2 linked regions of the Mus musculus genome follow. The main gene of each other region encodes a partner of the protein of the gene in region 2 in a complex. Links are inferred from orthologs where the notes say so. Each region holds a gene or a part of one and is shown on either strand. Other genes may lie near its edges. The genes, in order: Sptssa and Ormdl3.

Evidence for each region.
Region 1: the proteins of Ormdl3 (region 2) and Sptssa are in contact, whole or in part, in a cryo-EM structure (PDB 7CQI), measured with the Homo sapiens proteins. The link is inferred for Mus musculus from reciprocal best matches to the Homo sapiens genes ORMDL3 and SPTSSA. Residues at the interface, in NP_001307730.1 of Homo sapiens: Val36, Leu38, Ser39, Ile40, Pro41, Phe42, Ser44; in NP_612145.2 of Homo sapiens: Ile44, Tyr50, Thr51, Val54, Phe55.

The regions. Positions count from the first base shown.
Region 1 is NC_000078.6:54,653,778-54,657,683, forward strand, and holds the start of Sptssa (serine palmitoyltransferase small subunit A), read right to left. Parts: upstream 2,796-3,906; 5' UTR 2,707-2,795; coding exon 2,595-2,706; intron 1-2,594. UniProt on the Homo sapiens protein: Component of the serine palmitoyltransferase multisubunit enzyme (SPT) that catalyzes the initial and rate-limiting step in sphingolipid biosynthesis by condensing L-serine and activated acyl-CoA (most commonly palmitoyl-CoA) to form long-chain bases.
Region 2 is NC_000077.6:98,580,691-98,584,448, forward strand, and holds the end of Ormdl3 (ORM1-like protein 3), read right to left. Parts: intron 3,451-3,758; 5' UTR 3,426-3,450; coding exon 3,252-3,425; intron 2,598-3,251; coding exon 2,446-2,597; intron 2,158-2,445; coding exon 2,022-2,157; 3' UTR 604-2,021; downstream 1-603. UniProt on the Homo sapiens protein: Plays an essential role in the homeostatic regulation of sphingolipid de novo biosynthesis by modulating the activity of the serine palmitoyltransferase (SPT) in response to ceramide levels.

The sequences.
Region 1 (3,906 bases), on a different chromosome or scaffold from region 2:
ACCAGACCTTAGGCATTGTCTTCCTTATCTTACACAGGAGTACAGCTAGTAGGTAGTCTAACATTCTCTCTCTTTCTTTGTTTCTAGTTATTTATTTTATACATCTGAGTGCACTGTAGTTGTCTTCAGACACACCAGAAGAGGGCACCAGATCCCATTACAGTTGGTTGTGAGCCACCATGTGGTTGCTGGGAATTGAACTCAGGACCCCTGGGAGAGAGCAGTCAGTGCTCTTAACCCCTGAGCCATCTTACCAGCCCTGTATTCTAACATTCTCAATTCAAAGGTAGTGCAAAACAAACCAAAGCTTAGGAACTGGGAGCTGAGGAGACAATCTCCCAGGAAGCTAAGAGAGTTATTAAGACCATCAGAGATCTTTCCCTGGGCTACTAGGTCTTGCCATTCCCCGCCTCACTCTCTCTCCTCTTCCTCAATCTCATAACTGTACATTTCCCGGGGACACAAAGAACCTCTAACACAGCAAACAACGGCATAATAACTAACCTGGGTAATGTTTTCATTCAGATAACAGACATCTGGCACAGCACCAAGCCCTGTCTCCAAAAGGAAACAGTAATTCTATCAGCACCTTTGGTGGGGGTGGCTTGGTTTGGTTCTGTGTTTTCTGAGGAACAGGGTTTCATGAAGCCAACGCTGCCCTCAAACCTACATGTAGCTGAAGCTAGCCTTTAACTGCTGATGCTCCTGAAGCTACCTCCCCAAGTACTAGAATTACAGGCAAGCATGCACCACCACACCTAGCCATGCCCACAACTATTTGAACAGAAGAACAGAAAAAGGCACTTTTTCAAACAAAAATTCCCCCCCCCCCCTTGGAAACAGGGTTTCTCTGTGTAGCCTTGGTTGTCCTGGAACTCTTTCTGTAGACCAAGCTGTCCTCAAACTCAGAGATCGGTGTGCTTCTGCTGCCAGAGTGCTGGGTTTAGAGATGTGAGCCACTGCCATCTGGCCCCGGGTCAGTATTTCTATTACAATATAGCCAGAGAAATCTTAACACTGTTGCCACTGTAGCATTTATCCACATGCCAACAAATGTTTCAAAGCTTACAGGTCTAAACTGAGTTCTACTGTTACCCTAACCTAAAGAGTTTCACTTCACCCCAACACTGTTTCTTTGCCTGCCTGCCTGGCTTCCTTTTCCTTTGAGTTTTGCTATGTAACCCTGGCTTGCCTGGTAGTAGCTATGTATTATGTACCTCAGGCAGCCTTGAACTCCCAGCATTCCTCTTGAATCAGCTCTCTGAGCATGGTAATCAGTCATGAACCATCACAGCTGGCTTTCATTATTATTATTTAATGGGGCTTTGTCAACATTAATTGTAGTAAGATAATTATCAGTCAAGATTAACTGCTACCCAGCCTGGTCTACAGAATGAGTTCCAGGACATCCAGGGGTACACAGAGAAACCGTGTTTTGAATTAATTAATGAATTAATCAAAAGATTACCTGCTACTATTGAAAAGTTCCAATTAGGCATAAATTTAAATATAGATGTTATCTGACCTACAAAATCCAAAGAGCAAACTGAAGCTACAAATAAACGATTCGGAAAATCAGGCTTTCTTAATCCGGAGCCCCAAATATACATTCTGGTTATTAAACTTTAGGTTAGGAAATAATTGCTCACAGTAATAGTCTTGCAAGACGCTAAAATTTTTCAAGAGTCAGCTCCAAATAACCTCATGCTATTTCCACACCAGCACCCTTGAAAAAGCTTGCAAAGAAGCTCTACCTCAGTCCTAGGAACGCGTTTGTGAAGTTGTTCCTAACAAAGCTAAACCACAAGAAGCTGAGCGGATGAAATAAGCATGTGATGTGGTATATTCTTTTTATATTAAGGAAAGGAGAAGTGGAGCGTTAAAAGAATGAATTGCTAGTATTTCGTCGACACGGAAATCAGAGGATAGCGGCATAGACATTGGGCGAAAACAAACATCAGGCTTCACAACCTTGAGCTATTCGCTGGAGCTGTTAAAATTAGGCAAGATAACATACACACAAAGTGCTCAGCAAAGTCATCACTCAACAATTCTTAACCGGTGATAAACTAAACAACAAAGCACAGTTTGAAACCCCAGCAAAGTCTTTTCTGGGCACAGCTTGTACCTATGATGCAAAGAAGTCATAAATATAACACACTTTTAAAACTGCCATTTTGAAGCCCAAAAGGCCTTTCAGTAACTTACAAACTGCTTTCCAAAACTGTGTGGGAGTGTCAAGACCACGTACTCACAACCTGGTGAACTGGTTAGAGTTCTATCGCTCCAAATCAGGAATAGCTAAGGGTTAAAGACGCCCAAGCCCGGAGCGATTTGCAGCAACCCTGCCTCAAAGAATACTGAAGGATCAAAAGCAGGCGCGGCCGAAGCGGGACAAGGAAGCACCAGGGGAGACGTCGCCCTCCCGACTGCTTGCAGAAATCAGGATGCCTCCACCTTGGGCAGGGGAATTGCGTACAAGACCCGGATCTCCGCGGTTCCACCTCCCTTGACCCCAAGACACCCCCCCACCCCCTTCCAACCCGGCGCGCGCACCCCTCCACGCCCCAGCCAGGCCAGGACACACAGGATACTGAACACGGTTCGCTCCCAGGGCTCCAGCATGTAGAGCGCAGTGACCAGCAGGTACTGGTAGTAGAACCAGGACATCTGCTTCCATGCTCGCGCCAGCGCCATGCCCGCCATGCGCCTCCCGCGGTGTAGCAGCGTCAGGCGGGCCCGCGGCCCGCTCACCTCCTAAAGCCCCAGGCCTTGGGGCCCGCCCGCCACCACCCTGCGCCCATTGGTCCTGCCGAGCCTGCGCGTCACCGTGTACGCCCAACCCCGCGCGCACCCGAGCGGCCACCGCCGGCTCCTCCTGGCTTGCGCTTATTGGCCAAGCGGCCACTTCGTGTGCTCCTGTCCCGCCCCGCGCCTCGCCCGGAGCGAGCTCCCCAGCCCTGGGAAACGGTCTGGGTTTAAGTGCTAGTTCTGCATCTCCACGCGCACGCATGGCGGTTGCAAGACCGGCTTCAGTCCCCACTGGTGTCCATGCGAGATGGTGCCCTTAAGAGGCCGGATCCTTCAGACCAGCCCAGAAGGATTCCTTTAGAAACCAGTGTATGTAATCTCTCTCCTACCTCATGAATCCCTTCTGGGCCAAGAGATGATAGGGCTGGGTGAGAATGCTACTAAAGAGTCGGGCATGCAAATAAACAGTGCCTTGTGCAAGAGGGAATGCGGGGGTCAAAGAGAATGTGGATGCCAAATGACACCCAGCCAAGAAGATGTTGAAAACTGTAGAAGTAATATGTTCATCAGCTCTTCCCTTCCTCCGAGCACATGCGTGAAAACAGACCTATCTAGGATGCGCGCGCGAGTACACACACACACAACACACACACACACACACGCACTAGTATTCCCTAACCTAAAGACAAAAGAATTGGCCATAGACAGTTGCCAATATTTCTATGACTACACTTAGAAAACAACCATGTAGGTCACAATCAAGAGAAGTGCACTTGATCTAGTGGGTTCTAAAGACAGCTTGAGGTCAGCATGTGATCTGTCTCCTAAAGATTCACTCCTATGACCTGCAGCAGTACCGGCTGTATTCCACTCCTCTAAAGCCCATGCACTGTGTGCTTGTGAAATGACATAATTAAGTAGCCTGCAACTCACATGTCTAAAAGTTTCAAACCTGCTGCTTTAAGCTTTAAAACCTTTCCAGGTTGACAGGTATTAACTTAAATTCCTTATGCTCCTTACGAGCAAAGACCTTACAAACAACAATAGACTTGAGATCTGCTTTCACAAGGTGCCTAGTCATTTTATTTTATTTTATTTCGTCTTGTAGGTTACAGAACATCACGGAGGGAAGCCAAGCCAGGAACTCCAGGCAGG
Region 2 (3,758 bases):
GGAACTTTGTACTGGCCAGGGAGCAGCAGATAGTACACAGGACAGCCCGAGAGGCCAGTGTCCTCGGGAGATAAAGGGAGTGTCCTCCCTCTCCTCGCTGTGCTAGCAAAAGCCACAATGAACCCTCCTCTCCTCCTAATCCTCAAAGCAGGAGGAAGCACAAAGGCCAACCCTCTCCAAAACAGGAACTGGCTGGAAATGACCAAGGTGAGAGAGAAAAGAGGATAGATTCACAGTGCCAGTAGGAAACCGGAGAACCAGAGGTAACCCCCACCCCACTCCACTTGTAAAGGTCTAGACTGGCCTTCCCGGCCACCACGCCCCATTCCAGATTCCCCCAGCCAGACCTATAAAGCCGGATGCTCAGAGCCAACCGAGGACAGCAGGACTCCACTCTGACTTACCAGGGTCCTCACCATCTTCCTCACATCGCCTTTGGCTCCTGGACCTGGAAAAAGGCAGCCGCCCCAGAGTCCCCACTACTGCCTAGGCAGGAGCTGCCGTTGCTCCCACTGCCGCCAGCTTTCCTCCCAGGGCCCACCCGCCAGGAAGCAGAGGCCAGACATGGTAAACAGAACATGTTGCTCTTTATTTGCATTTTTTCAGAATACTGTACAAAGGGAGTAAAAATCCTATTCACACTTTGCTTAGAAAGACCAGAAGGTGAAAGTTCCCTATGATACACTGGGTTCAGAATGAGGGGGAGGGGGACAAACAGGTGAGTGACCTCCCTCCAGCCCCTCCCTGGGAGAGGGCTTGGGTAGCCACGCGTTTCCAAAGGAACATGCCCCAGTCGACCCAGCGAGTGGAGAGACAGCTCCTCTCGGCCTAGCCTCAGGCTCCATGACCTGCCTCTCTTTGGGCTGAGGACAGTGCCTGCAGCTGCCCCTACTACTGCCTGGTTTGGGCAGAGATCCTGTAGCACTGTGGAGGCCACTGACCACATGTGGAGGTGGCCTCCTGACCATTCACATGCAAGCCACACAAGAGGCACTGCCCCAGCACAATCTACACAAGAATACGAATTGAACGCTTAAGGAAGAGCCTCTCAGAAAGCTTCCGCGCGCGCCCACACACACCACTAAGGGAAGTGTCGAAGTGAACCCGCTTCTGAGGACTCACAGGCCCTTCCAGCCTGTGCATATCCTCATTCCAACCCAGGAGTTCAAACCCACAGGGGCCTCCCTTCCTATCAGCATCGTTCTGTGGGTAAATTAACCCTCCACGCCAGCTCTCCTCCTAGCCCACATCTCAGAGGAGGCGGAGTCTGGCTTCTCCTTCCCAGACCTCTTTTTTTTTTACACTGATCCATATCGGCTGCAGTTATCTTGTCCATTCTAAGTAAGACCCAACTTACTATCCCCACCCAACCCTTGCTCAGAACTCCCCTCTCCCCAGGACCAAGGTGGCAGCATCCTGTCCCCACCTCTAGGTGTCCCATCAACCCATCTTCCTTTCCTAATCTCCCCTGCCCCACAGCCTACCCATCGTGGGTTGCCAGGAAGCCCACAAAGCCCGCCTGCTCCCTGCCTGGCGGCAGAGGCAGCACGGCGCAGGGTTCTAATACATACAGAACAGCGAGTCTCGCTTCACACACTGAAGGAATGAGGGCAACCAATGCAGAAGCTGTACCGTCCCTCTGCCCCCCTTTTTGGGGGCTAAAGTGCTATGGCTGCCTGAGGGTAAACAAGCCAACAGGGCCTTTTCCTGGCTTCCTGTCCCAATTTCTCAGGCCCACAGTCAGCCAGAGAGCCCAGCCTCTTTCCTGACCACCCCCATGGCATCTCTATTCAAAAGGCAAAAGGAAAAAGATCAAAAACTTCAGAATGGGTTAGAGCCCAAGGGCCCCACCCTAACCCCACTACAAGCTACTCCAAGTCGGCTACTGGGGAAGCGAGGGGGAAGCCAGGCCCAGGGCACACCCCCATCTCTGGCAGTGTCCAGAGGCTCCTGTCTTCAGCATCACAGCAAAGGCCTTCCACCCTTCCCCTGCCAACCCGGCTGGGGAAGGGGCTACAACCTCAGTACTTATTGATTCCAAAGATCCGGACTCCGTGGAGCTGGGGGAGCTTGGGAATGAGCACAGTCATCAAGGACACAGTGTTGAGTATGAAATGGACTTGGTCATACTTGGTGTAGAAGCTGGTGAGGAAGTACCTGGAGGGGAGGGAGGGAGGGAGGGAAGGAGGAAATATGGGTTCCCAGATAAGAAGTGGAGTGACAACTCTCTAGCTAGCAAGGCCCTCCTGACCTACCTTCCCCCCCAGCTTACTCCAGTGAGGAAAGACAGGGCCAGGGAGGCCAAAGGCCCCGTGTGAGACCCAAGAATATGTCTCTTCCCTCCCTCTGCTCATCCATACAGCAAGGGCCAAAGCTGGGAGGGTTTAGGGCCAGCTGAGCCCACCCGTTTACCTCTGCTTATTCTCCCATAGCCAGAGTACTCACAGCACTATAGGCGTGATGGTTAAGAACTTCCTAGAGGCTGTGAACTGGACCCCGTAGTCCATCTGCTCCCAGTGGGTCAGCAACCTTGCTTTGCCTTGGTCTGGAGTCTCGAAGGGCGTCCCTTTCACGGTGTGCAGAAAGATGTACATGCCCTGAAAAGAGGGGCCTTTGTCAGAACATACGAGATGGCTCCCAGCCTGGCTCCCCCACTTATCAGACAGCAGCAGCTCTGGGTGGACTGCCACCTGCTCTGCTGCAGTAACTCAGGAAGGCAGCCTTAACACAGGAGAGCGCACCAGAGCTTGGTGGGAGAACAAGGGGGGAAATAAGGAAGGAACGGACACAGCAAGGCAGCCTTTCCAGCCCAACTGGGGTCTCTACATGTTAGCTAAAAGGAGCAAACCAAGGAGGAAGGACTAGACCCCAGCCTGCTCAAAAGTGGGGTACAAAGCAGCAGGTTTTAGGGAGCACAGAGGATTATGAGATCCTAATATGGGAAAAGAATGTCTCTGCACAGATTCCTGGGACCTGGGGGCAGCCTCAGCATGGGCTCAGCTCCCAGTTTGCTGTCCTTCAAACACACCAGCCACCCAACTAGGGAGACATGGACGATGTGCAAATTTGATTCTAAAGCCCACAAGGGGGAGCCAGGTAAGAGTTGGGCCTGGGCTCTGGTGACAGATGTTGTCAGGACCTGCTGTCTGTCCCATTAGAAGCTCCTCCTATCTCTCAGCTCTGGCCTAGAACAGCCCGCACGGGGGGTGGGGGGGGGGTGGGGGGGTGGCTGGTGGTAAGCAGGATCTTACCAGGTTGTGGATAAGGTTGGTGAGGGTCCAGACGACAGGGACGCTCACAAAGGGAATGCTCAGCAGCACGACATGCAGGAGTCCGATGGCCAGCACGTAGGAGAGCCAGATGCCGCGACTGTTCATCACCCGTGTGTTGGGGTTCACCTCACTGTGTGCTGTGCCCACATTCATCCTGCCACCCCTCTTGACTGCCGCTCTGCAAAAGAGCAACACAGGTGAGACAAGTCACACCACTTTCCCTGCCCCTCACACCCCAAGCCCCAGAGAGGCAGGCTTTTCACTCCCTGAGAACTCCACACCACTGTCCACTGTTGGGAGTCTCAAGCCCAGAAGCTGGAGAAAGTCCATGTGAACGTGACACTAGTCATTTCCTGTCACTGGGCTGGACTAACACCAGGCTGTCATACACACCATCTGCTGACATAGCCAGGGAGGACAAGTCACCAAGAGGTGACCAGCAATCAATTGCCCAGGCTATAACAATCAGTGCCTTTACCCCAATCA